Linked DNA regions of Bombyx mori. The protein of the gene in region 1 binds, or shares a complex with, the protein of each later gene. Links are inferred from orthologs where the notes say so. Each region holds a gene or a part of one and is shown on either strand. Other genes may lie near its edges. The genes, in order: THO complex subunit 5 homolog, THO complex subunit 6 and THO complex subunit 7 homolog.

Region 1 (7,259 bases):
GACATCTTTCAGATGTGGAGCCAATGCATCAAGTCTAGAACGTGCAGCAGCAATGGCAGCTGCTACTCGTTCCTTGGAAGATATGAGTTCATTACAGGCTTCAGATAATTCACGACGTTGACGTAACTCCCACTCCAGTCGGGCTAATTGTAATTGATGTTCATCAGCCTTTGTGACCTCCTAAAATTTTACACATTGTCATATTGTTGAATTTGTCAGTACCATTACTGCAACAACTCATCTGATCAGTATCAAAGTTACAAGTACTCAGTATCAAGTGTCTGAGATATGTGTGGAATATGTCATATGTATATTTGTAAGGGGAAACAATGTGAATCATATGACTGGCACCCTCACCAGGACAGATTAAAAGCAGTCATACTTCTGTCATGCCTAACTTTCTACTAACCGTTATGATGCTACTCAGCACGATAGCGCTTTAATGTATAAAATGACAATTGGGATGCAATGCTATCGCCCAAAAACTTAGGTAAGCTCTTGGTCCTGAGTGCATGTATATGTTTTGAACTGTTTATATTATTGCAATTCAAGTTTGGCTTCAATATTTAAAAGAAATTCAGGATTTTAGCTACCTACAGCATTTTAGGGACAAAACTAAAAAAATATTCAGAGCTGAAACGGTTAAAATATGTACATTCAGATATCAGTTACACACTGTGAAAACATACTTACTGATCTAATAATATCAGGAGGTGCATTTTTATAGAATTCTTCAAGAGGCACAAGATCTATTTCTTCATCTTTAGATTTGAATTGTAAACATTTAGTTACTTCTTTGTTTAAGTGATCTGCTTCGTAAAGTAAATTTTGTAACAGTAAATGTGTGGAATCAACTCTCTGTTTCTCTTTATGGAGCGCATCACGACCAGCTCTAGTTCGTACTTTCTCCAGGCGATTTAATTTCTTTAACGCAACCAGCAGTAATGAAGCTTCCACTCTTTTTGCATTTATCTTTTCTTTAGCCTGTAATTATAACTTTTGCCTTAATTGCATTGTTCCATATTTTATATTATTTAACATTAATTACAATTCATAATATAATCTAATCATGTCCATTTTTTTTTTTTATTTGTCGAGCCGGGTGCCGAACCTCCTACGAGGTCCCCGCGTCTAGGGGGGTGTGGGACTTTACGATCTGGTAGTCAACACTACAACCAGACACGCGACGCCACCCTGAAGACGCCGGATCGACGAGTCCTCAATGCGACAGTCGACGACAACGAAGCCGGTCTCCGCGGTACGACAGCCCTGCCAGGCCGCCCGGGCGATGCCGCTGGTGTTCCGGGATACCCAGCTGGACCAGAACCAGCCTGCCGGGTCAGAACGCGATACTCCTGCAGACGACGAAGGCCACCCATACACAGGAAAGATGTCCCTCCCCCGGGTAACGACCAAAGTGTCGTCCGTGTAACAAGCTACGCTCAGACCCGGGAGAGGAGTGCTAAGGGCACCCCGCAGGACCCAGTTCGTAGCCGACATTCCACAAGAGAGGGCCAAGGACCGACCCCTGTGGGACACCACGCTCGACGGGAAAATGGAGCACCGCCCCACAGTGCCCGGTGCACACGGCCATCCTGTTCTCGAGGTAGGACCCGACTCTTATTATGTCCTGCATTAACTATTAATTGAAAAGTGGCATACCTCCAATGTTTCTTTAGTTTTTAACTCTGCAATCTCTTTAAAAAGTTGCCTTATGTCTTGGCATGTTTTATTGAAAAAGGCAGCATCCTTATCAGCTGGACGCAGATGAGCTTCAGCTTCTTCAAATTCAACAACACGCTGGAACAATCCATTTAAAACACATTTTGTAATGAATGAAGAATCTTGAAAAATAAAGACAATTTTTTTGGTGTACTGGGATCTTGTTCAGTTTACAACTTCTCTAAGTGTTAATATTAAACTTGTTTTGAAGATCACAAGATATTTCACGAACAGGATTCACTTAATTTTTATTTTTGTTAATAATAAGTTAAAACTGAAACAAAAACTTCAACAGAAAATATAAAAGCAACAGCTTGCTAAACCAGGAGCCACAAATATAAATTCTCATTTATTAGTAGAACTATGTACTTAAATTTACATTATTATACATATTTATGGTACAGAATAATGAGTCTTGAGGTTATGTTACATCTTATATATTTTGGTCAATACCTTGTATACATCAACGGGAACTGGCTTTGTTCCGTCATTTGATGTACTTGTATTTAATTTGCGCCGTTTCTTAACAGCCGTTACTTCTTCTTTTCCCATGTTTAGTTTTATTCAAGTTTATCAGATTTCATCCAAGTCTGGAACTTTAAAAAAATCACTAATTTAAACAGACAATTACAACCTTACTGCCTATTCACTCTATTCACTGGATTTGTTTTTATATATTAAAGCTTTTACTAGCATCGTTCACGGTAATGTTTGAATTATTTTTCTTTTAATGTTAGCCTTTAATTTGAAAGGTAGTCTTTAACTATGATTTTTTTTAAATTATACTTCATTATTGTACCTACTCAGCAATAGACATGCGTAGTTCCGGACCTAAATAGTTCCTGGAACTATGTCCTCATATGGAACTATATCATTCAATCCGAGTTGTCAAAATTAACATGTTCAGACAGTTCCATTTCCATTCCAAGTGTACTGTTATGCAGGAACTACGAACGCGTTGAACATGACGGACATGCGGACATGATTAGAGCATAGGTACCGCGCGGCGCGGAGGCGTGGCGCGGCGAGTCCACCCGAACGAGTCTCGAACCGACACGAGTCCACGTAAAGAGATAAGGCGACATATGGCACGAATACGAGAGAGTGAGATGGAGCGAGTGCATGAAACTGCGTGTGGAGCTCTTTCATATTACATTTTTATTAATATTGAAGTTATGCTCTACGACCTACGTGTTACAGTCGATAGTTGAATAAATTAAAATGTTTTGCTATGGATTTTGACCTTGACCATGCATCATTCCTACGAGCACTTAACCTTAAGTGTTTGTAGACCATTTCTTAGAAAATCATAATTCAAAATTCGAGAATTTTAAAACATTCACCACTTTCGCTATTCGGTATCTCGGTTATGGGAAAAAGGTTGTAAGGCTACAACGAGCTCAATTTACGTTGTATATCAGAATAACGTGGTATTTTAATTAACAACTGATAGGTTATAGTTTTCGGTGCATCGTACAATACCTACATTGAAAAATAATGAAAGTAGTAGAGTAGTTGAAATTATGACAAAGTAATTACAGTACATTAATAAATTATGCAACCAGCTGTAACAATGAACCTAAAACTAAAAACCTTACAAAATAATATTACAATAATAATTGCCATAAGCGGCAATCTATTTTTATATAGTGCTTTTAAAAAATTGTATTTTTAATACCTTTTTTGAAAAATATTGTGTAATTAATAATAACTTAATACGTGATTCGCTACACTACAAACAGTTACTAGACTTAACATGTCCGCGGAACTAAACAGCTTCAAACAGCTACTAGACTTAATATGTCCGCGGAACTAAACAGCTACAAACTACAAACAGCTACTAGACTTAACATGTTCGTGAAACTAAACAGTTCCGCGAACATGTTTACTGGAACTAGTTCCGACACTCAAAAGAACGATGTCATGTTCAATCCAGTTCCGAACATGATTAGCGCACGTCTACTCAGCAATAGCAACTCTCCATAAATGTCAGTAAATGTCAGTTAAGCATCCTCAAATATTACCTATGTGATAATCTATGTGTGCATCTCTCAGCTCATAGATTTCGACTTTTTGGCGGGAATGCGAGGAGTGAAGCTGTGTGATATGTTTTATTTTGTCTATTTGGTATTTCTTCAGGTTTGAATGTATGATAATGGTGGTTTATTACCTGTTTAGTATTTGCGAAAGGGCACAAATGTGGGAAAATGAAACAAAGTCGCTAGACGTAACTCCTCGGGATCCTCCAAAAAGTCCACTGAAAGAATCTCAGTAAATGACCACCATTTTACTGAGATCATAAATATTTCATCCCATATCATCTCATTTCATTTAATTTCATCCCAGTTGATTAGTTATCTAGTTTATTTTATATAAAATGACTATGATCCCTTTGCCTCTTTAAGTACACAAAACAAAGGACATTTGTTTTTGCTTTCCACCTTGAGAAGGTCAAAAATATCACTGCTGTAATCGCGCCAGCAACCAAATCCTTATATTTTGCCAAACCCGGCTTGTAAGGTGCAATTTTGTTAAATAAGGATATCGCTTAATTTAAGGTTTGTAATTTATTATTATTATGATGTGTATGGATTACAAAAAAGTGGAGTAGTGCAAAAATTTTCAATACAAAAAAATTAGATGCCGATCATTAGCCATCCAATTTTACGTAAATTTCATTGTATCCGTTGAAAATGACTAATTCTTAAACCCCGTGAGCGCAATGAATTTGTAATAAACATTTTAAATCAAAAAATATTTTAAAGTAGGAATTATGATTGTACAACCTATGTTTGACCTTGCCGGCGCATCTCATTCGATTAGCGTTAGCAATAGAAGTAAAAGTAATAGAATTAATCCTTTAATACCCTCAATCGATACAATAAATCTTTTTGCAGTATTCAAGGTAAGTCTCGTGACTAGGCTGTGTGCTTTGGAAATCAGAAGTAGTAATAAGTTGAAATAATGGGGTGTTTTATTAAGCAAATAAGAGTGTCAAGATCCTAAATGGGAAATTGGTGGTTGTATTTTAGGTCTCGGTGGTTCTATGTCTAAGATTTTAAAGGTTGCGTAAATTGCTGGATGTGGGCTATGTAAGACCAGTCATTGTGGTAAACCTTGCTTATATACAGCAGTAAATTTCTGTGGGCTGATGATCCTGAGGTCACTGGGTTTAAATCATACTTTCAATTTAATGACTTGTCCCATACATTTCTATCAACAGATGAACAAAAAAGATATCTGAAAAAATTGAAACTAAATTGCCAAATCTAAAATTCACATATACTAAGCATTATATAGAAATACAATAAAATAGTAATTTTGTATTGATTTAACCTTTAGGATCTATTAAAAATTAGTTTTTTGAGATTGAGATTGCAAGTTTTTTTCTGAACTAAATGAAAATTCAAAATTTCCATCAATTTTACACATCTTTTATTTTTGTAAATTGGACAAAGTCATTTGTCCTTTTATCAAGATAGATATACCGGTATACTTTAAGTGTCTTAACCATGTTGATGGGGCATGATGACTTCTAAACTACTGCCAGTGCTCTCCAAATAAAATGAAAAATTTTTTTTTTTCTAGAAAGTCTAGTTCAGTATTAAAAATGGTAATAAAATCAATCAAGGCTCGTCAAATCTTTGACTCTCGTGGCAACCCTACTGTGGAAGTTGATCTGGTAAGTTTTTTGTTACAAATTATCAACAACTAAATTACTGAAATTCTTTGAAAAATGTAAAGTACCTTTTAATTCTGTGAACAGGTAACAGAGCTTGGCTTGTTCCGGGCAGCTGTACCCTCTGGTGCATCCACTGGTGTTCATGAAGCTCTTGAACTAAGAGATAACATCAAGAGTGAATATCATGGCAAGGGAGTTTTGACCGCAATCAAAAATATCAATGAACTCATTGCTCCTGAACTTACAAAAGCCAACCTCGAAGTAACCCAACAGAGAGAGGTAATTATTTTTAAATCTCAAACAAGAGTAGATATTTCGAAAGGACTCAAAAAAAACTTGAGTGTGGTATTAACATTCAATTGAAGTGGAATTAATATTGATAGGATTTTCATATTAACAAGAAATGTATTTAATAGTTTAAAAATAATATTAAATATATTTAAAAAAGTATATGTCAGCTATGTAAACCTTTTAAATTAACAGATTGATGAACTCATGCTTAAGTTGGATGGCACTGAGAACAAATCCAAACTGGGTGCTAATGCTATCCTTGGAGTTTCCCTAGCTGTTGCTAAGGCTGGTGCTGCCAAGAAGAATGTTCCGCTGTACAAGCACTTGGCTGATTTGGCTGGAAATAATGACATTGTTCTACCTGTACCAGCATTCAATGTGATCAATGGAGGATCACATGCTGGAAATAAACTTGCCATGCAGGAATTCATGATTTTCCCTACAGGTAATTTAATTTTTTAAATTATTAGTGGTAGGACTTCTTGTAAGTCAGAATGGATAGGTACCACCAGTCTTCCTGCTATATATGCCGTGAAGGCGTAAAGCATTTCTATTCGTAAGGTGGGGCAGCCATTATACTATAAATTGAGACTTAGAACTAATGCCTCAAGGTTGTTATTTTACCACTTAAAACCAGCTGGGCTGTGAGCTAGTTCACCCATCTACGCAATAAAAAAATCATTGGTTCCAAAATAACATGTCAAGATATGAAGAAAGCCAAAGATCAGTCTCAGTAATAAAACTGGGGAGAGGCCAATATACAGCTATTGAAAACTGTGGGCTGATCATAATGCAGTTCCAAATTAAGTAAATAAATTGACTTCAAAATGAAAATATCATTTTAACAGGGGCATCCACCTTCAGTGAAGCCATGAGGATGGGTTCAGAAGTGTACCACCATTTGAAAAAGATCATTAAGGAGAAGTTTGGATTGGACTCTACGGCTGTTGGTGATGAAGGTGGTTTCGCTCCAAACATACAAAACAACAAGGATGCTCTTTATCTGATTCAGGATGCTATCCAGAAAGCTGGCTATGCTGGCAAGGTATGAGAACACATCTAATAGTATAATAGAAATAATCAAATTGATGGTAGAATTTACGTCTGTTTACCTGCAATTGTTCATATCAATTGACACAAAATGGCTGACTGAACTATTTTAATGAGATTTCAAGTGATATGTTGGAAGTAAAAAAGGCTAACAAATTATGTTTAAATTGGTTGCATAAAAGGATATTATTGTGCATCATATACTCAGTTATTGATAAAAACTTGCAAATAATACCATAAGACTGAAGATATTTATTTATTTGTCACTAAACATAAAATAAAATTATCAAATAATCAATCAATGATAAAGGGTTTTATGAAATAATTGTCACTGATTAAAAGATTACTAGTGGTCGCCCTGTAATCGAAATTCAACTTTAATTAACTTAATTAAAAATTTTGAAGATTATTATGGTTCTATTATCAAAGTCTATACTTCTATAATTACATATTTCGCCAAAGCTATACTATAGACAAATAATATTAAAGACAAACAATATTAATCTATTCTCAA
Region 2 (6,977 bases), on another chromosome or scaffold:
ATTGTTGGATGGTGTGGATAAGAGATAGCAATAAAAAATAAAAAATAAAAACAGTCAAAATTTTATCAAAGCAAAGAGAGTTCCGTATCATTTCATTAATCATCTTTACATTATTTCCTTCCCTGTGATGACCTTGTAGATGACAATAGTCAAGTTATGGTGTAGTTTGTTTAAGGTGTCTGATAATTATTTCAAATAATTTTATGAGTAAAAAATTGATTTATACTGGCTGTTTATTCACAGATGGGGTAACTAACTGCCCTACAGAGATTCTTTCAGGTGAAACTCTGTCCACCTCTGAGTCAATTAAGTATGAGGACATGCATTGGGATTGCAAATTATCTGGGAAAGCCCATTTAAAGCCAAGAGGTAAGTTGAAGTTCAGATTTAGAAAGCTGTACTGGCTTCTGGACAGAAAATCAAAACTCTCCCTAGAAAATTAGCTTCTGGTCTACAAAACAATCCAAAGCCTCTGAAATGATATTCAATTTTGAAGCTATGCTTCTTATTCTATCTTTACATTTTTCAAAGTGTTTAATAGACTATATTAGATGATTTTCGACCTGCTCTTTTATGTACCTATAGTAGGCAACATAAAAATCATCAAAACCAACTAGCACACAACCTTGTGTAAGCCAGACACACATGGCTCTTTAAGTATTCAGAAACATGTAATATTCCGACTGGATCAAAGAATGTGACTCTAAATATTGATGATTATTGGTAGAGACTATCAATCAGCAGGTGACTCTTCATTCCTGTTTATAGCATTAGTTTATCTGGTTACATTGATTGCAGATTCAGAAGAGCAAAAAAAAATTGGCTCACTGGACACATTGGTGCCTTATTGGCTGACTCAGCGGCACAATGCATATGTCCCTGACTGCATGGCCAAAGATCATGGGTTTGATCAATTGAGGCAAACATTTGTCCCTGACTGCATGGCCAAGGATCATGGGTTTGATCAATTGAGGCAAGCATTTGCATAATTAATAAGTTTTGTTTTATGTTTAAGTGTTATTTGTATTTAGTTCAATACACTTTGTATAAATAGTCTTTAGTAGCCACAGCACTGGGAACTTTAGTTTGATGCTAAATGGCAATATGTGGTTTGTTATTGATTATAAATTTCTATGCAAAATAAATGTTTAAATAATTAGCAATTATGGCGGTATTTAAAATATTATACTTATTCCATACCTTTTCTATCCATATTCGTTGATTACTAACATTATCTGTGTAGCAGAACACATCTTTATGGCAAATTAAATGTTAGAATCAAACTTTAAAACTACAGTATTTTTGCCTAAGTTTGATGGCTATGAATAGAAGATTATGAAGTAGTAGTATAATTTCAATGAACAACAATACCATCATCCAAATATTGGCAATTGATAACAAACAAAAACTCACAGCACATAAAATTTCCTATGATTACCTACTGCTATCATCAGTTATTATAACTCATTAGTAATATTATTAGCAGACTGTCATAGTTGTTAAAGTAATCACGGTTTCCTTGAAATATGAAGAAAAAGCCTAATAATATGAATATTAAATTACCAAACAAAATTAAATTTAGAAAAAAAATATATAATAATTGGAAACCCTGAAAAAGGTAGCAAGAATTACAAAATAATGTTGATTTATAAAGCCCAACGTGTGCCAACCTCATATCATAAAAATTTAAGAGACCATCCCCGGAACAAATCTCCAATACCATGAATCCGATTTCTGTGTATTTGTTGTATTTATGCTAACTACTCACCCTTGTTCTTCCAGGCTATCTTCCAACTCTGCACACTTGACTTCAATCTTCCTTTTCCTCTCATGATCGAGTATTTCTCTATTTGGTTGTTTGTTTGACGCCGAATCCAACTTGGCGATCTCATCTTCAGTCCGGTAGTTGACGGAGTCTTTTGTTTTTCTTACCGTGGCCCAATTTCTCTGTACGTAGCCATTTGTACCGGAGCCCCGTGGCGTCGTCAACCCGATCCCATTATACATTATTTCGTATTATATACCTAAAACCAATCGTAACACTTACGGTGTGCAAATTGAAGGTTCTGAATTAGGCCACGAGATTAGAAACTCCCAGAAAAGTTAGTAAAATAATCTATAAATAACAATTTCTCTTTCAAAAAATGTATCAACGTTAATGATCAATAACTCACAATATTATTAGATTATATGTTTATGTTTAAAAAGAATTGAACACGACCATCTTGCTTGGTTTTGATTTTTTTAGATTGAATTATTCATAGACAACGAAATGGCTATGAATTTAGATGTTTCATTTTATCTATAGTTTTTAACTGACAATGACAAAGTCAAGCAAATCAATTGGAACTTTAGAATAACTTTTCTATTTTGAGATCGCTAAACAATAAGATAAAAAGCATAATTTTTGAATAAAAATAATACATGTAACATGATTTAATGAGTTTTCGGCAAACAAAATGAAATATATGAAAAGAAACTTAGGCAAATGTCAATAAAACCACAATATTTTTGTTTTAGATAAGAGTACATAATAATATAGTGTAATAAGAGTTTTAGTAAGAGTAAAGTGAAGTACCTATTTCATTTTATTAAAATGTTTCTAACCTATAATAGTAATGAGTCAATAAATTAATACGTGATTTATTAAGTTGATTTGTGGAAAGATAGCTTCGTCTATATAGCTTCCTTTGTTAAAAAAATAACCTTAGGTCTTACTAAATTTCTGTTCTTATACAGGGTGAATTTGCCTTAATTTTATCTCAATTCGTCATAAAGAGCTATAGAGCTAAATCATTTTGGTTTTTTAAAATAGAGCATGGACACTGTTCCCTTTGCCTAAAGAGTGTATGCCGCAAAAAAATCGCTGCATTCGAAATAGAGGTTATATGTAGCTTTAAATTGTGTTGTTTACCTATGGTTGTTTATGTTTCTTTTTCAATTAAAATATTGCATGGCATCTAGAAAAACTGACGAAGTAGTCTAGTTTCTGAGCAAACACAAAACTTTTACCATGTTGAATAAAATGTTGTATAACACTGTTTTATCTCAGACTTTATCGCCGTGTGGTAAATATTTAGTGGCCGGCAATATTTATGGAGATCTTGCTGTATTTGAGTATGTTATTTGTATTAAATTTATAGAAGTATATTTTAATATTTGGAGAGGTTTATAAATTCATTCTAAATTTTTGTTACAGCCTAGATCGTATTTTAAATCCAGTACTAGAATTATTATCTGTTGAATACAACAAACCAAAACATATACATTCTATAGATTCAAAAAAACAGATTTGTAGTCTAGTTTCAACGGAAAAATTCCTTATAATTGGTACCGTTAATGAAATATGCGGATGGGACTGGAAGGCTGTTGTTTCTGTTAAATTATCAAAACCTGTATGGAGCATAAAGATTCCTTCCCAAACTTTTTTGGACTACAACGATGTGAACTGCATGTGGCTATCTCAAGACAGTGAGAAGCTGTATGCTGGTTGTGGAGACAATAATGTGTATGTGTTTAATTTGGAAGATGGGAGCCTTATTTCAACTTATAAGGGACATAATAATTTTATTCATTCTATTCATGGAAAGTAAGTTGTTTGTTTGTTTATTTGCCTTATTTCAGCTGCTAATATATTTGCCCTGACAGTGATATACATATATGCTTATGGCTAATATTACAGTAATAAAGAAGTTATTTAAAAAAAAATTTCAGAAACCAACAGATTATTTCAGCAGGCGAAGATGGTTTGGTTATGCTTTGGGATACTAGAAGTGGAAAATCACACAATAAATTGGAACCGCACACTAATAATAAGGTCAGCAGACCTGATATTGGCAAGTGGATTGGCTCAGCAGCTCTTGGAGATGACTGGATTGTAAGTTCATCTATCATCAATCTAATTATTCATACATATTATCATTAAAATGCCAGAGGTGAAAATAAAAACAAAAATGAAAATCAGTGAAAAAATTATTTTTGTTTAATAGGGAATTTACATAATAATATTGTGACTGATATTTTTCTGTGTGTGTTGTAAAAGGCGATTTATTTTATTTAAAACCCTCTTAAGCCATCAATAGCATTCCTAAGGAAAGTTGTGTCGAAGTCGTTGTGGCCTAAAGGATAAGATGTCCGGTGCAATCATATCTAGCAATGCAACAATGTTAGAATCCCACAAGCCAGGTATCAATTTTTCTAATGAAATACGTACTTGACCAATGTTCACAATTGATTTCACGGTGAAGGAATAACATTGTGTAATGAAACTCAAACCTGCAAAATTATAATTTGCATAATTACTGGTGGTAAGACCTCTTGTGAGTCTGCACGGGTAGGTACCATCACCCTGTCTATTTCTGCAGTGAAGCAGTAATGTGTTTCGGTTTGAAGGGTGGGGTAGCCGTTGTAACTATACTGAGACCTTAGAACTTATATCTCAAGATGGATGGCGCATTTACATTGTAGAATTTTTTTTATTGCTTAGATTGTGGACGAGCTCACAGCTCACTTGGTGTTAAGTGGTTACTAGAGCCCATAGACATCTACAACGTACTGATGTCTATGGGCTCTGGTAACCACTTAACACCTGGGTGATAATTAATAATGGAATATATAAAAAATTTACAGGTATGCGGTGGTGGACCTCGATTGTCTCTGTGGCACCTTCGTTCATTAGATGCAGTGACAGTCTTTGACATTCCAGACAATGGGATTCATGTGTCATTCTTTCATGATGACTGTGTGTTTGCCGGTGGTACTTCTAAACATTTTTACCAAATGAGCTACTCGGGTGAGGTGAGAGTAGAACTACCAGTGTCTGCCACGACCATATACAGTGCGGTGCTAAGAACTAAATACAGCACCCTGTTAAGTTTAGCCGGTTCCAGTCCAGAAATAGATTTGTGCACGTCTCTTAATTACAAAGATCAAGTTTTACATTTTCGATAGTTATAAGCATATTTAGGTGGAAAAAATTAAATGAAATTAAATCGAGACCTAAGTTTTATTATATGAGTCGACTATTATCAAAGCCGGTAATGTGACTTTTGGAAAATTATTGGTAAATCAGAAAAATGAATTATTGACTTTGTATTCCATTGGTAGTCACAAAACTCTTATGAGCGACATCTTAGATAAATAACAGGTTAAGTATTAACCTTTATTTAATGCAGGTTTTGAACCGTATTCTTTGAAGGAGACTATTATATTCAAATCAATCTGTATTGACATATCAATAACATTTTTTTGTCCAAATGCACAGATTGCCACCTTTGATAATAGACGACTAATATACAGTATTTACTAATATTATGATAAGTTCAGTAAAATTTACTCTAGGATATTTAAATAACTTAATTTTTCATTTTCTCAGTCACCTGTACATATTTTGAGCTTTTAATGGACAATGTAAAATATGCATGTATGCAACATTAAAACATCAATAAAGTTTTTTGGATAACAATATTTAACCAATTGCGCCCAGTCGGTACTTGTGTAAATTATAGTTACTTGCTCCAGCCTCAAATTGAAACAGCTCATAAGTTCAATCGCCTCCTATTTACGTCTAATTGGTATCACTAGTTCGATTCCTTCATTGGACAAGCATTGTGTGATGAACAGGTTTGTTTGCTCTTAGTCTGGGTGTTTTATCTATCTAATATATAAAATTCTCGTGTCACAGTTTTCGTTGCCATACTCCTCCGAAACGGCTTGACCGATTTTGATGAAATTTTTTGTGCTTATCCGGTATCTATGAGAATCAGCCAACATCTATTTTTCATCCCCCTAAATGTTAGGGGTAGTCCACCCCTAAATTTTTTATTTTATTTTTTATACAAAATTTTTAATTTCTATTTTTTTATGATACAACATACAAAAATACATACAACCCTGAATTTTCACCCCTCTACGATCAACCCTTATTTTTATTTGCTAATTAAAAACTTTAAAAATTTTTGCGAGAATTTTGTTTTTATTTTGTCATGACGTAGAATAAAAAAATTCATTATACTCTGAAATTTTCACCCCTCTACGATCAACGTTTATAATGAAGTATTATGCGGTTAAATGAGGTTTTTTTTTCTACTGTAGAATTTCCCTAGAAATCTTATTTAAGGTAACACAAAGTTTGCCGGGTCAGCTAGTATATGTATATATTTAAACATACTCTTGGCGTGTTGCGAACAAACTGAGCGTTTTGATTGTATAAACAGTTTGTTGGAGTTTGTTGCGTTCATTATTGTAATCCAATTGTGATTTTTTTATTTTTTATTGCTTGGTTGGGTGGACGAGCTCACAGCCCACCTGGTGTTAAGTGGTTACTGGAGCCCATAAACATCCACAACGTAAGTGCGCCACCCACCTTGAGATTAAGTTCTAAGGTCCCAAATATACTTACAATGGCTGCCCCACCCTTCAAACCGAAACGCATTAATGCTTCACGGCAGAAATAGGCAGAGTGGTGGTACCTACTCGCGGACTCACAACAGGTCCTGCCACCAGTTCTGCCTGATCTGGTGCTAGATTGTGCCAAGCACTGCTCTTGCTCGGGCCAGTTTTAGTAAACCCCATAAACCTCACCTACCAGCCACAACGAAGCAGGAATAGCCTTTTAGGTTACCAACGAATACGTAGGGCATAAAATGCAATTCAGACTTCAACATTATAATATTTATGCGCTCCAATAATCGCTGGAGATAAATCGTTCGTGAACTTTTTTGAACGAAAAAAAAAAGAACATTGGTTTCGAAGCTTTTGTTGCATGCTTTCAATTTGAAATCGCGGTATGTCGCATAAATCCTTCAGAATTTTAGTGGTTGCACGAACTGAAGGTCGTATCGTATTCCTTTGGTTTCCACTTGTGGACATAGTTAAAACTAGTCTTACTCCAGTCCACGGACTACAGTCGTCCGTGGCCACGAAAAACGTCACGTATTCGAAATTTAAGAAATAGTATAATGAAAAATAAAAAAACG
Region 3 (6,528 bases), on another chromosome or scaffold:
TCTCATCTGGTCTCACGGTCATCTCACGCGTCAAGTACCTTTTTCCTTAGGAAATTTGGTCTAACCTGCGGCATTTGAACACTGACATAATCGTATGCGTATGAGTATCACGAATATAGTGCTTCAAGGATGCAAGATTGCGGTAGCAACTTAACTGCTAATCAATGTCTAAAATCAGCCGTTAATAATTGACTTTAATAAAAAAAGTCGTTCCATTACTTCTGTATCTATTTTAAATCCTATTATACATATATAAAAAATTTAAGAAAAAAAAGTCGAATTGAGAACATCTTCCTTTTTTGAAGTCGGTTAAAAACAAGTGAATTATTCGTAAGAGTAAAAAATACACAGAATTTTAGTTACGGGCCGGAATATTAAATTACATTCGGGGTGTTTGTGCGCGTTAATGTTGTTAGTACAGGACCTTTTCTAGACTCCGGGGTGTACCTTAAATCATTATTTAGGTAAATACTCGTATACATAAATATATTATACATATACTACATATACTATACCTACTTAGTACCTGCGCTTAATGAGGCTTTCGACACGCAACACAGATTAGGTCTGTTGCGAACTTAACTACTCTAACTCTGCTGTTTCACCTTGAAATAATTGTAGTATATTATTCAGTTTTTGCCCCATAGACACAGCCCACTGAGTTTCTCGCCGGACCTTCTCAATGGATCGCAATCAGGTCGTGAATTCAGCGAAGCACTACTCTTGCTAAAGCTAGTGTTAGCCAATTCTCTCGGATTGAGCCTGTGAGCTCACCGAACCGTCCGCACTTAGCTGGAATAGCTTCTTAAGCTTTCAGCGAATAGGCAGAGAAAAGTTTTCGCGAATCGCAGACACAACTACAACTACTTTTAAGGTTTAATCTGACTTTTTTCTGTTATTATACTATTTCCTATGTTTCGAAGATTTACAGCCTTAGTGGTCACGGTCTACTGACGATTATAAAGCACTTTATTGATGACAAATTAATTTAAACCATTTAATGTTTGCTTAAATAGGGCGTGTTTTCTATTTATTGGTGTACATCGTCCAAAGAATTTACGATCTATCTAGTGTTAAGCGGTTGTAGTTCTGAATGGATGGTAGCCATTTGGCTGTCCCTATGGCGTTGTAAAGACCACAAACGACGGAACACTTTTTAACAATTAATCATATATCTCGATCACCACCGGTTAGCTTTTTTATTGGAAGTTTGGTATTCTATTATAAATTTTTTGCTATTTCTTTCAACCAGATATTTTCTGGGATTTTTGATGTGACAACACTTTCACGACTTGATTACATACCGTAGGTAAACCTTATAGAAACCATTTAAAACAAAAAAAAGGTATTTGCGATTCATAATTTAATGTTTGCATTAGATCACTATGTAGTGTGACTTTTGGACAAGTCATGAAAACAACAAAGGATCTACCAGGCAAAGCCTAGCTAAACTATCCTAATCCTAAACCTAGGACTTTAACCTACATCTAAACCTAATCCTAAACCTAAGAATCCTCGCAACGAAAAAGATCGGACCATACCTCTGGGAATGTCGCCCAGAGGATCCCGTGATCCGCCACCCACGGACGCGCCTGGTGGAAGTCCAGCATCTCCCCCGCAGACGAGACCCACAGCACGCAATCATTGCGGGCTGAAGGTCCCGTCCAGATCGCGGGCCCCTACGTAACCTGATTCAACCCCAAAGCCAAGGTGAATGGGGTCAAGCTATTTTTTTCAGTTTTTGTGTATTTTTGTAGTGAACAATGTATAGTAACGCATTGTATATAAATATTTAAGCCTCCAGAACCATTATGATCTCCGTTTTATTACTAAAACAAAAAAAAACTATACAAATCAATGTCGAACTTAAAAAGTGTCCCAATTCTCCCCATTTTACAGTACTGAAAATGTAAACAAAAAATCAAGTAGAAAATTCATACTTTATTAGAAATCTCACATAGAGAAATAATCTTATACTCTAATACATCACTCATTATTATGATTCATTTGATATTTCTTTCATATCAACATCATCACAAATAGTCTCTGCATCATCTAGTTCATCTAATAATGCTTGTAATTGATGTATTGAAGTTACAAGCACATGAAATTGTTTCTTTCGTAATGCTAACCGACTTTCCAATTGCTGTTTGGTGGTTTCCAAGTTTGCTAGTTCAGTCTTCAGAGTGCTCAATCTCTCAGAGGTTTCCTTACGATCAGGCTGTTCACTGATAACCTTAGCCAAGACATCATATTCTATTCTGTTTTTTCTGACAGTCTTTGCTTGTGCTAAATCTGTTTTGCTCTTCTGTATGTTCTCTTTGGCCACCTCTATTCCGCTTTCTAGAATTTTCGAGAGTGCTTCGTAGCTTTTTAATTCAGCAGCCATCATTTCAGAACCGAGTTGCGATTTTGTGACAGCAAATTCGCATTGTGCCAGTTGAGCTAACATACGATCATGAGTAGCTTTACTAAAACGAGAAATCTTAATCGTATTACATATTCTGGAACTACAAAAACTTACATTTTGACTGCAGATTTTTATTCTCATAATAAAACAACAAATGTATATGGGGAATAAATGAAAAGGTTAATGAACACTTAATTGAATATTAAGGCTCTTTATTATAGATAAACAGATGCCAACATTTCCCTGCTGGTATTAAATGCTTACCAGAACCTTTGGGACACGAGATAGAAGTTTCAATTGAATTTACAATGGCAATTCTACCCTTCAAATTGGAAGCTATGATCAATGCGGAAGCTATGATAATTCGGAAGTGGAACAGTGTTTACGCATGTGAGCTCACAATACGTCCTAATACGGTACTATTTATTAAAACCAACCTTTCTTCCGGTTTGTCATCCGTTGTATTGCACCATTTTATCAAAGTTTTTAAAAGTACATTCAGTCTCCTGTCGTCTCCAGTACCGTCACCGTCGATCAGAAGTCTTCTACGAATCACATCTTCTGGAAATAACCAATGAGTATTGAAATAGTATTTGTTTTTGAGTAGTTTTGTATTCTTAGGTAAAGTTATTTACCGTCACCCATTATGTTTGGAGTAAAATTCAAATGAAATTATGATCTCGTCCGAGTTTGCCTTATAAATTGTTAGGTAATGTTTTTATTCTACAAAATAATCTTATCATAAGCGAATTCAAATTTATCCTTGTTCTTTATATGTAAGTGCTAACTTGTGTGTTTTATTTACAAAAATCAAGAAAAATTAAAAATATTTTATCTCCAAATTTTGGCAGGTTAAATTATTAATAAAAAAAAAGTTTTTTTTATCCAACTCATAGGCAAAGGAGACATTCTCATAAGTTAAAAATGCTCTTCTTTTTATCTAAATATTTTACGACAAAGCCTGAAATCATATCTGTTGCATAAAAAATGAAATGATATAAATAAGACGATAACTATTTTTATATTTAAAGATGAAGAAAACTAAACTAAATAAAACATTCACACAGTATTACAACTTTACTATTTCACATTCCTGTCAAAATTGATTGAAACAAAATTGCTGACCGTGGTTTCTTGAGATCTCAAAATTTAATTGAACGCTGATTAAATTCTTAAGATTTTAAGAACACAAAGCTTAACCTTTTTATTTTAATTAAAAGATTTTGATCGGCTATTTTCCCTTTGCTCATTCAATGGACGAAAGAAAACCACAGACTATTATGAGATGCCTGCCAAACAAGAAAAAAAAACAGATGTCACAACCACAATTCACATGTTGTTTTGCCTTTCGAATTTCGATCCATTGTTCAGGAAATGATGAATAACTGCTATATTAAACCCTTTAAACTATTGAATCTATTTTAACAGTAAATTAGCTGAGTAAACTTTCGGAATATCTTTCACTGAAACAATGGAAACGTCAAGTTTCAGTGATAAAGTCGAGATTTATTTCTCGGAACTTGGGCGATGGCTAGTATCAATAAATAAATAAATAAAATATTTTTTGGGTAAACGTCCTTAAACTAACTAAGTGTGCATTTTCAGGAAAGTGTGGAGGAGCATACTGCTTGGTCAAGTGTTATCCTTATTTCTGAGCGGCAAATGTATATTAACAACAATGTTACAAAGCGCAACCTGGCAGTTTCCTATCACGGGGCAGCTGGTCGTGCCGTATTTAGTACTGTTTGTACTCTTTACCCCGAGCCTACTTTGTACCGGGCTGGAGAAGCTAACGAAGTAAGTTCCAATTCAATTTTAAGACATGAAAAATATCGTCTTTTAAACCAGTTCTATTATTGAAAGAAGTATAAGACAAGACTAAAATAATTAAACTTACTAGGTACTATTACTATCTTATGTTCAATGGTGAGTGCGCTAAGTTTTCTTAATATCTTCTTACTACAAATGTGGAAGTAACCAATATTTAAATCTAACTATAAAATGTTACATTTATCGAGATAATTTTCTCTTATTCTTTTGCTTTGGGATAACTTCCCGCTCTACTCTTTTTATTAGTCAGCAAAATAAAGTATAAAAACATTTCTTAATTCAAGCTAGTATCAGCTGTGACATGTTGGAAAGCTCTGTGCATTCTGTTGTGTGTTTTGCTTTTTTCTTTATTAATACAAGAAATGGAATGGTAGCTGGCCTAATTAACCTTTAAATTTTCAATGTTCAATTCAAAGATGACTGTCTGAATAGATAGTTAAATAAAAAAGTAAATGTTAAATAATAATCAAGTATTTCTACTTAAAAAAGAGATGAAACAAAAAAATAATTACATACCTAGGTATAGAAATCATGTATTTCATTTCAATAAAAGATTCCATATTTAGTAGTTAATTGGGCAATGCAACTAATGAAATGAATTTTGTTGTTAGAAGATGGTGGGTACTCATCATTGCCTGTGTTCTTGACGTGGAAGCTGGCTGGCTGCTAGTCATGTCACAGAGGTTTACATCAGTGTTGAGCTGACAGCTGTTAGCATGCAGTGGTGTTGGTGCAGCACTGGTCGGTGGTGCTTGGAGTGGTCAGAGACTTGGTGTTTCTCATGTTGCTGGAGCCACCCTTGGCCTGATGGCTGTAGTCTGCGTTGTGTGGGCTGATGTTGAGGGTGCTCCTACTGATGGTAACATTCTTTCATTCTTAGGTAGATTGGTAACATTTTTATTGATGTCCCTGATGAGTGAATCTAATTAGACAATAAACACACAGTAGAGTGGTTACTGTTATAAAGTGGTTACCAGGTTATACTAGTGCAATGCCAACTTAAGTTGTCCTAGCTTTTGCTAGCATAATTGAATATTACTTTAAATTGCTTGGAAAATAATTTAATTACTTTGATTGGAGTAATATTTTTTTGTGTATTACAATGTTTTTGTCGTAATTAATAATGTAATTGAAGTACTTGTTGTGTTTATTTGATGCATGTGTACCCTTTATTAAATCATGCAGTTACTGAAATAAGTTAAAATATTCTGAAAATGAATTTGATATTTTTCAGGTAAAAATCAACTAGTAGGCGATATGCTATGCCTTGGTGGATCATTATTGTTTGCAACAGTCACAGTGCTTCAAGAACTGATGCTCAAAACTCATACATGCTCAGACTATTTAGCGATCCTCGGTATTGTGGGTAGCTTTGTATCTTGCACTCAAACATTCTTTCTGGAATTCCTTGAATTGATGAACTTTAACTGGTATGAGTTAGAGACGATTGTGCAATTGGGAAGCTACTGCACAGTACAAACAATATTCCAGATATTACAATGTTTTATGCTGAGAGATGCTGGGTCTATTTTATTGCATCTATCATTCCTGTCTGCTGACTATTACACTGTGATCGCTGGCATGTATATATTTCAGTTTAAGGTAAGTTTAACTATCCATATTAATTTATAATTAGTGTTAGATAAGAATTCAATAATATGTATGTTATGAATGTATGTTAAAGATGGTTAAACTATATACTACAATGCCAAAAAATGTTGCTCCATTTACATTTGAGAATTTTACTTGAAATTGCTTTAAAATAGTGGCTATCTTATCAAACCAGAACACCCAGTACTTCTCTGCCGTGCAATGTCAAATGATTCCTCCAATTCACCCAGGATCAAAATCACTAGTTTCCCTACATTATAGATTATTAGTGAAATAAGATAAATGTTTTAAAAAGTCAGAGCAAAGTAATCATGTTATTGATGTTTAATTGAATATGCAATTTTGAAAAGGGCACATCTCTGAAAATGTAAAATGTTCAGGAAATGAAAAAAAAAACTGATTCTTTTCTCAAGCAGTGTAAAATTTTAAATATTAACTTTTGAGATATATTTTAGTGTTAATTAGCAATTAAAAATTACGGGAATTATTATAAAATGGGTGTAGGTAAGCCTCAAAACTACATGTGTATAAAAAAAAACGTATTTGACATGTGCCCTTTTCGAAATTGCATATTGAATTATATTGAATAATTATTATATTGTTACAGTTCCACGCTCTATATTTCCTATCATATTTACTGGCGATGGTTGGAGTGTTTCTATTCAGCAGTCGCTCTA

Evidence for each region.
Region 2: THO complex subunit 5 homolog (region 1) and THO complex subunit 6 share a complex: the UniProt entries of both Drosophila melanogaster proteins name them as parts of the THO complex. The link is inferred for Bombyx mori from reciprocal best matches to the Drosophila melanogaster genes thoc5 and thoc6.
Region 3: THO complex subunit 5 homolog (region 1) and THO complex subunit 7 homolog share a complex: the UniProt entries of both Drosophila melanogaster proteins name them as parts of the THO complex. The link is inferred for Bombyx mori from reciprocal best matches to the Drosophila melanogaster genes thoc5 and thoc7.

The regions. Positions count from the first base shown.
Region 1 is NC_085114.1:10,649,301-10,656,559, forward strand, and holds the start of THO complex subunit 5 homolog, read right to left. Parts: upstream 3,754-7,259; 5' UTR 3,686-3,753; intron 3,667-3,685; exon of another isoform or gene 3,401-3,666; intron 3,024-3,400; exon of another isoform or gene 2,413-3,023; intron 2,333-2,412; exon of another isoform or gene 2,319-2,332; 5' UTR 2,275-2,318; coding exon 2,176-2,274; intron 1,801-2,175; coding exon 1,663-1,800; intron 985-1,662; coding exon 694-984; intron 181-693; coding exon 1-180. UniProt on the Drosophila melanogaster protein: The THO complex is required for cell proliferation and for proper export of heat-shock mRNAs under heat stress.
Region 2 is NC_085116.1:3,182,174-3,189,150, reverse strand, and holds THO complex subunit 6, read left to right. Parts: upstream 1-2,836; 5' UTR 2,837-3,013; coding exon 3,014-3,117; intron 3,118-3,199; coding exon 3,200-3,589; intron 3,590-3,714; coding exon 3,715-3,877; intron 3,878-4,629; coding exon 4,630-4,950; 3' UTR 4,951-4,995; downstream 4,996-6,977. Other genes in the region: serine/arginine repetitive matrix protein 2, read right to left, coding at 1,769-2,007. UniProt on the Drosophila melanogaster protein: The THO complex is required for cell proliferation and for proper export of heat-shock mRNAs under heat stress.
Region 3 is NC_085129.1:4,006,010-4,012,537, reverse strand, and holds THO complex subunit 7 homolog, read right to left. Parts: upstream 3,519-6,528; 5' UTR 3,056-3,518; coding exon 3,046-3,055; intron 2,972-3,045; coding exon 2,848-2,971; intron 2,472-2,847; coding exon 1,997-2,471; 3' UTR 1,922-1,996; downstream 1-1,921. Other genes in the region: solute carrier family 35 member F1, read left to right, coding at 5,048-5,099, 5,475-5,842, 6,459-6,528. UniProt on the Drosophila melanogaster protein: The THO complex is required for cell proliferation and for proper export of heat-shock mRNAs under heat stress.